2 linked regions of the Xenopus tropicalis genome follow. The protein of the gene in region 2 purifies or fractionates together with the protein of the main gene of each other region. This does not show direct contact. Links are inferred from orthologs where the notes say so. Each region holds a gene or a part of one and is shown on either strand. Other genes may lie near its edges. The genes, in order: sufu and gli2.

The links.
Region 1: the proteins of gli2 (region 2) and sufu purify together in Homo sapiens (affinity purification with mass spectrometry; 3 studies listed by BioGRID and IntAct, with this or other methods). This does not show direct contact. The link is inferred for Xenopus tropicalis from reciprocal best matches to the Homo sapiens genes GLI2 and SUFU.

The regions. Positions count from the first base shown.
Region 1 is NC_030683.2:29,292,719-29,296,534, forward strand, and holds part of sufu (suppressor of fused homolog), read right to left. Parts: intron 3,101-3,816; coding exon 2,966-3,100; intron 1-2,965. UniProt on the Homo sapiens protein: Negative regulator in the hedgehog/smoothened signaling pathway. Down-regulates GLI1-mediated transactivation of target genes. Down-regulates GLI2-mediated transactivation of target genes. Part of a corepressor complex that acts on DNA-bound GLI1.
Region 2 is NC_030685.2:89,201,415-89,205,848, reverse strand, and holds the start of gli2 (zinc finger protein GLI2), read right to left. Parts: upstream 3,054-4,434; 5' UTR 2,709-3,053; intron 1-2,708. UniProt on the Homo sapiens protein: Functions as a transcription regulator in the hedgehog (Hh) pathway. Functions as a transcriptional activator. May also function as transcriptional repressor. Requires STK36 for full transcriptional activator activity.

The sequences.
Region 1 (3,816 bases), on a different chromosome or scaffold from region 2:
TAGTTATATGTCTCCATGAATGTAGGCAGCAGGCCTATATTATTACAGAGATGCTGTACCTGCACACTAATAAAGCACACAAAGTAACATTTGTATGAGGGGTTTAGTTGCCCTTTATACATTTTGAACATGCCAGCATGTGTGAGAGCTCGCTTCTTTCAAAGTAAATCCATCTCAGTTGGTGGCCTAATTTTTTTCCCCCCTTCGTCAGTGTTTTTAATAGCGCTAACTACCTCAAACAAATCACAATCTGAAACTAAATACACTTGCGAAAAAAGGGTTTCCATATGTTACCAATTTCTTCCAGGGAGGTCTACCTCCAGCGCAGAGGGAGAAGCGTTCCAGGAGACTAGTGCCCTCTCCGAGACTTTCCAGGGATAAATGGTTCATTTACAAAGACTTTATTGATTCTGTAATTTCACAATTAGAAAAGCTGCCAACATGGACCCACAGATACTTGCACTCGCAGGGAACAGTGTAAACAAAAGAAACCCTACAGGGAGGCTGCCTCTCAGCTTGGAAATAAAGCCGCAGCCCGCAGTGTAACAGATGCAGATCTATCAAGATCAAACTGAAGGAGCAAGACATGAATTAGCAGGCAGCGGAGGGAGGATTACATACACGTACATTTTTTAAAAATGTTACTGAACTCAGTTTTACAATCCAAATATAGACTCGTCCCAAGTCTGTAAATATGGTTTCGCACTGCAGGCTTTACTACAACTAATGGCTGCATTTCTGTTGCTTGACCCACACTGCCCTATCTATCCACTCACATACAGACCCACACTGCCCTATCTATCCACTCACATACAGACCCACACTGCCCTATCTATCCACTCACATACAGACCCACACTGCCCTATCTATATACTCCCATACATAAACCATATATACCAACATCAATACTAACTGTAGATTTTAGTATCACAATTCACAGTATCACAAGTGACCAACTGCAATGCAACAAGACAGACTGCCATGTATGCATATTAGACTGTGGTTTGGTAAGTGCTAGAGCAGGATAAGGAATGCAAAGGCTTCTAGAGAAGATCTGACAGAATGCTGTAAAAAGCAAGATTATTTGTTAATATTGCTGCTGAATGGAAAAGCCATTTGCTGTCAACTAGTAACAAGGATCTGGGCACCAAGGCTACTGATACCATTGACAAGGGGACAAAAAGAGAAAAAGACGTTAAGCAACTAATTACCAAAAACAGAATAATAAAAAAACCCTACAAAAGAAGCACGGAAAGCAGTCAGACTACCAATAAAGCATTCACCATCAGCAAGGGTGCTCATTCAGATAACAACATAAGTAATACTTTACCTCTAAGATGTGAACTCCTAATGGACTATTGGTACCAAAAATACTGTAGGTGGCAATAGGTCAGCTTTTCTATGAAGGTTTTACTTGTGCCCAGTAGCTGGGTAGTATAAAAACATATATACACACACCTGACAGCTTGCCTTAACCTCACCCACCCAATTCAACCACAAGCTGTAATTGCAGTAGCCCAATCTGCTTCTGTAAAAAGTTTTCTATTACGGTGAATCTATGATAGGGGTGCCGAGTGACATACAGGAAAATGTCAGGCTAAAAGTAATAAAGCTTGTAATCATTAGCGTAAAGCTTGTGCTACATAAATAAATGAGTAGTAGTCTGACATTATTACTGGCTCTGGGTGACAGTTTGGTCAAAAAAGCAGCAGCTTCTAAATTCTAAATGAAGCAAAAGACATGAAAATAGTAACTGCATCATAATTGGTCATACAAACAACCTCTTAAAACCGTACAAATACAAAATGAGGATTACTCTGCTTTCAGTGGAGTGTTTTTCAGTCATGTATAATCGTGTATATACACCAGGAACTTTCTGGTGATTCCAAAGGTGAATTATGGTCTATTTTAAGCATTTTGTCCCACCAACCATGGAGCTACATAACGCCATAACATTAAAAGTCAACATCTGCAATTACTCAAATGAGCCAAGCAACTGTAAAATGAAAGAGACTCATATTCTTAGCAACATAGTAAGTTGGGTAGAAACAAAAGACATCTATCAAGTTCAACCATAATGCCTATATATAACCTGCCTAACTGCTAGTTGATCGAGAGGTAGGCAAAAAAATCCACCTGAAGCCTCTCTAATTTGCCAGAGGGGGAAAAAAAATTCCTTCCCGACTACAAGATGGCAATCAGACCAGTCCATGGATCAACTTGTACTAAGAGCTATCTCCCATAACCCTGTATTCCCTCAATAGTATTTCACAAGCATAGATATGGCACATTCAGTCTCCTTTACAGTACGCACAGAGACATCCCATAACCTATGCTAGCATTAGCATTTCATTCTAATAGATGCATTTTATCCCACCTGTACTGTATAATAACCTTTTAAGATACTGACTGGAAATGAAAGAACATGGAAATAAAAACACTGGGTGCTAAAGTTAATAAATGAACTTCTGTACTGTTCACCTATTATGCATTAAGAAAACAATGTTTTGCTTGTCAGTTTAAATTGCAAGCTCTTTTGGGAAGGGACTTCTTTACCCTTTGTATTGGTTGTTTTTGTATGTTAAATGTATATACTAATTTACTGCACAGAGCTATGGCTTATGTTGGTATTTTAGAAATACATTATAAATAATAATTATTAAGTAAATACAGGGCAATCACTGAGAGTTAGTTATTGCTAAAAAAAAGCACTGAACCATTTTTATATAGCCTTTAAAAATGTGCAGGGAACTATAATACTAGGATCAATGGATACATTTAAACAGTAGAATTAAACTGGCAATTCCCATGCATATTAATAAACCTCAACATGCAGATAAATGTATTTTCTAATAATATACTTTTTAGTACAAAATTTATGAGGCAAGGTATATTGCAAAAGCTCCCCACCTTACAATATTTAAAAGGTATACATGCAGATAATCTATATGTTGTGAGAACTTACTCATGGACTCTGTTGTCACCATACAAATCACTCAGGCCAAAGCTGACATAATGCCAATGTTCAGGGACGTCAAGTGCTGGATTGCCAAGACTCCTGTACATGCTCACATAATCTAGGGGGTCTGGTCCACCCAGCCTGAAAATAGACAAATCAAGAGTTACTAACATGACAGCTTTTAGTCGCAATAAAATTAAAAGCTTGTAAAACGGAACACAAACATTTTAAACATGCACAGTAACATTTAGAGGCTGAAATCACACTACTTAAGGGTGAAGACACCCATGGAACTACTTAGTAGCAGAAACTTGTCACGGCTACTAATAAACAGAAAATACCCTGCCATAGACAATACTGAGAATTGCCTCTGCTAAAACACACGTCAAGACAGTTATTAGTAAATGATCAGCATTGTCTATTTTAGTAGCCGTGACAAGCAGCTGCTGCTAGTAGCTCTGTGTGTCTTCACCCTAAAGCTGCATTTGCTAGGCTGCTTTGACTTCTGCTGTGCTACAATTTACAGAAAATCATGGCAGCCTTCAGCTTACTAAACATTCCTTCTATGCATATTTACATTTTTTGTATGAACAGGTTTGGACTGGGATGAAAAAATTGACCCTGGCATTTCATGTACACAGAGGCCCAAAGAGCCCCCACAAGCCCAATAAACAGTAACTGGCATCTTACAGCAGCCGCTCAGATTGGCAGTCTGGGCCTGTGTATAGGTGGCCATACAAGGGAAGATTTTGTCACGTGAAGCAACTGATTTTATTGTTACATTAAAGCGTACAAAAAGATCATATAATTTACAATTGTTCCGACCACATCATTCCAACAATCGATTGGATAGATTT
Region 2 (4,434 bases):
GCCCAGCGGCGCCCACACTAGGCCAATAGGGTATGTGCCCAGCGGCACCCACACTAGGCCAATAGGGTATGTGCCCAGCGGCGCCCACACTAGGCCAATAGGGTATGTGCCCAGCGGCGCCCACACTAGGCCAATAGGGTATGTGCCCAGCGGCGCCCACACTAGGCCAATAGGGTATGTGCCCAGCGGTGCCCACACTAGGCCAATAGGGTATGTGCCCAGCGGCGCCCACACTAGGCCAATAGGGTATGTGCCCAGCGGCGCCACCATCAGCATCATTTGTTTACCCAGCGCCAACCAGGGGTAACTGGTTCCAATTCTAAAGCAGGCCTGGTTTCCATGCAGGGGGAACAGAGTGTAAGCTCTTCAACCCAAGGTTGAACAACCCTTCCCACTGGCACGTTGGTACCCTAGGGGCACAGTGTGATTGGCCCGACCCGGGACCGCGTTGAACTACACAACTCATCATCATAACTGGAACCCCCAGGTCTCATTCTTACCCACCCCAGCACTAGGGGCCACTGTCCCAGGGGCCCATCAGAATCACCCCACTACATCTGCTCACATTCCATTTAACATTTATATTTTGGGGGTGATTGTGTGACAATGTGGAACCCCCCAGGTCCCAGAATGCATTGGGGCGGGTCTGTAGAACCCAGAAATGATTCAGCGCAGAGAAATCCCAGTGACTCAGCCCCCCCCCCCATTTACTGATCCGCACGGAACCAGACGGCACCAAATCCATCATTTTCTGCCCCCTGAATCCAACCCTGAGCACAAGAGCTTACACTCACTTTATGGGCAAATGCTAAGCTTCTGACCCAATTCCAGTCCAGTCCAGGATTTGGGGATCCCAATTTCCCTTTTACACTGCAGATTATACAGACTTTATATAAACCTATGGGGGTGCAAATGGGTCCCCCCCATATAACCACTGCTCCCCCCTACTTACCCCCCCCAAAGTCTGGGGGGCAAGGCCACCTTTATATAAGGATCAGGGGCAGATTTTTGGGGGGCGGGCTTGGGTTATTGCTATGACCTTACTTGGAGAGACGTGCGGAGGGGCGGAAGAATGGAAAACATTGGGGTTTTTTGGGGGGGGGCAAAACACTTCAGTTTGAGGAGCCTTTTGGGGCAAGATGATTGGTTCTGGACATCAGTAAAGAATTTTAGACTCAAGGCGCTGGGAGTTGAACCCCGGACCCCCCCCCCCCCCCGCACAGTTGGGTCGCTTTGATCTCAGGGTCGGTTCTAAGTGCGAGTGACACTTTCTTATCACCCCCCCCGGAGCCTTTGAACTCAGACACATGTTAATGAGACGACCCCCAAAGACTCATGGGAAACGGCCCAGATTATCTCTGAATCACAGAACCACCGGACCCCCACTTGCACCATGAAGCCTGGAGATACCCCGGGGGTCTGTAGATATACCCCGGGGGTCTGTAGAGATACCCCGGGGGTCTGTAGTGATACCCCGGGGGTCTGTAGTGATACCCCGGGGGTCTGTAGAGATACCCCGGGGGTCTGTAGTGATACCCCGGGGGTCTGTAGAGATACCCCGGGGGTCTGTAGTGATACCCCGGGGGTCTGTAGATATACCCCGGGGGTCTGTAGTGATACCCCGGGGGTCTGTAGAGATACCCCGGGGGTCTGTAGTGATACCCCGGGGGTCTGTCGTGATACCCCGGGGGTCTGTAGTGATACCCCGGGGGGCTGGCATAGAAGATTCTGTGTCTGTAAGTTACAAACCCACTTAGACTGTCAGCTCTGTGGCTCAGGGACTCGTGTCTCATAATATCCCTTGTCTCTGCCAATGAATGGGCTTGTGGTATACAAGTAGCACAATATATATATATATACAGCCCCCCCCCAGTCAGTTCTATGGGGCCCCAGATATTAGGTTGATATAACTGGGAGGAGAATTTGACCCTAAAGGGGAACTTAAACCAAACAAGTCAAAACGCCCCTCATGTTCTAAACACCCACAATGCATTTGTTATGAAGCCCCAACAAAGGGTTAATGGGTGTGCAACTAATAATCTGATAGGAAGCTGCCCCCCCCCACCCCCCATTCCTTCTCACCCTGTGTGACTTCCCAGCTATCAAAGCAATTTCCCAGCAGTCTGCAATCAGTCTGAGCTTGTGGGCTGACACCCAGCCCTCTGCCCAATGCAAACGACCAACTGGGCACAGCTGGCATCGCCCCCCCGACCCCTACCCCCGGAGTGGGCAACTGTAGCCCTGTGACTGGTGTTTAACCTACAGTAACCTACTACAGCCCTGTACCAGCTGGGGGGCTGTAATTGCCCCAACTTCCCCCCCCCCAGCAATTCTACATGTTCCTTATTTAGCAGATCTACCCCCCCAAAATAAACACAACAGCCCCCCAGGCTGCACAAAAACTTCACTTTGGCACATGTGGCAGTCGATACCCACAAACTCAGTGCCACTTTCTCTGGGGCAACTGGGCAACTCTTACCCGTGAGTCTGAGACTGGGGTAAAAGGCCAAGCTCCAAATGTGAAAGGGAATATGGGGGGGGGGGTCCCCAGATGTCAACGCGTTTCTAGTGCCAATCCCAGTAAGGGAATGCGCCCCTGGAAAGATCCAGCGCTAATGCCCCACCGAGGGGCAATAACCCGGGGTAGGGCTCAGTGCTAACGTTTCCATTTCTGCATGTAGAACCCCCAAGTCTCACAGAGCACTTACCTCTGGGTATGGGGGGGCAGTTCCAATCAGGCTGTGGGGGCTTCTCACTCACTGGTGCCAAGTGATGGAGGCAGTTTAGTTTTGGGGGTGCTCCATATCGGGGTCCTCTGCGCTCTTACTCCGACTTTATATCCATCTTTGGGGGGGTCGGTGTCACTTTCGGGGACCCATGGTGGGAAGTGAGGGGGGCGCACACTCCGGGGTTTGGGGGTCGCGGAGTCGGGGGAGAGTCCGGGGGGCAGGGGGTTCCGGGGGGCAGTTTGCAGGAAAGTTCGGGATTCCCTGTCCCCTCTGTCTCTGCGCCGCTGAGTGGAGTCAGATGATCTGAGCCCATCGCTTCAGCCCCGGACTGATCTGTTTTCAATCTCACCCCCCCCCCTCCTCCTCCTCCCCCCTCCCCCCCCCAATCCTCCCCCCTCTCTGACTTAAACCATTTGCTGCTCCAGATGGGAAGGGGAGAGGGGGGGCTTTCAGCAACTTCAATGCTTTTCAGCAGGGGTTAAATTAACGGGGGCTCTGCAGATGGGGGGGGGGGGGGGAAGTATTCAGCCATGCGGAACGGAAGGGGTTAAACTTTGGGAGCAATCGGTGCTTGTTCAGCCCTGTGGAACAGAAGGGGTTAAGTCATAGGGGGGGGGGACTCCCCAGGGGAACAGAAGTTTTGAACTAATGGGAACTGAAAAAAGGTTGGGACAGAAGGGGTTAAACTGTTGGGGGGCTCTGTACGGGGGGGGGGGGGGGGGCATGTTACCTGTTTGTGGAATAGGAAAGCCTTAACAGGAGGGGGGGGTCAAATAATGGGGTATTGGTAGGAAATGGGGGGCAGCCCAGTTAGTCCGCTGTTGCAGCCTCAGGAACAGAAGGGGTTACATTAAGGCAGATAGGGGGGCTCGGTTAGATACGGGTAAGGTGTGGCCCCCCCTGGCAGCTTTATCTGCCCCTGTATGGGGGGCACTAATGGGCCCACCCAACTGAGAAATGGCCCAAACATTGGCCAGTAGTCGATTGGGCAGGTTTGATTTTCCTGTTGGATCCAGAACGGGTCGGCTCATTGGGGGAGCCCTCACCCCAACATTCTGTACCCCCCCCCCCCCCACTGTCAGCGGCCTGATATCTGCCTATCGGCTAACGAGCGGATCTTGTAATGAATGTAAGAAACTCATCTTTGGAAATAGGGGGGCACAGTCCAAATGTAACTCTTGGGCCCCTATGGCAACATAGCCCCCCCCAGAGGGCAGATTAGAGGGGACTTTGCTGGGTGGGGGTAACATCCTGGGCTGAGGAGAATGGGTTAATTCTGCAGATGGGGAAGGGCCCAGGTACCCCCAATCCCCTCACTTTCCTCTCCTGCTCCCCCAGGCCGACCTTCTCTGTGTTCTGCAGAGTGCCAGTGGGGGGGCTTCTCCTACACTGCTTGTGGGGGGGGGTCTGTCTTCTGGCGGAATGTGTGCGGGTAGCGGCGCCCCCTGCCTGCCAGCACATCAAAGCTCCAATACCCCCCTGGGTCAATGTAAGTCTCAGGGTTTGCACCAAGTCTAGTAACCCATAGCAACCAATCAGATGCTTGTTTTCGAAGTGGATTACAGGTGACTGAGGGCAGTGGGAGCCCCCAAACGAAATGCAGAAATAAAATACAGACACTGCTGTCACTGAGCCCCAACATCGACTGTATAAGCCCCCCTTCTTTATATTCCAATTCCCCTGATGGGGTTCCACCAATGAGATC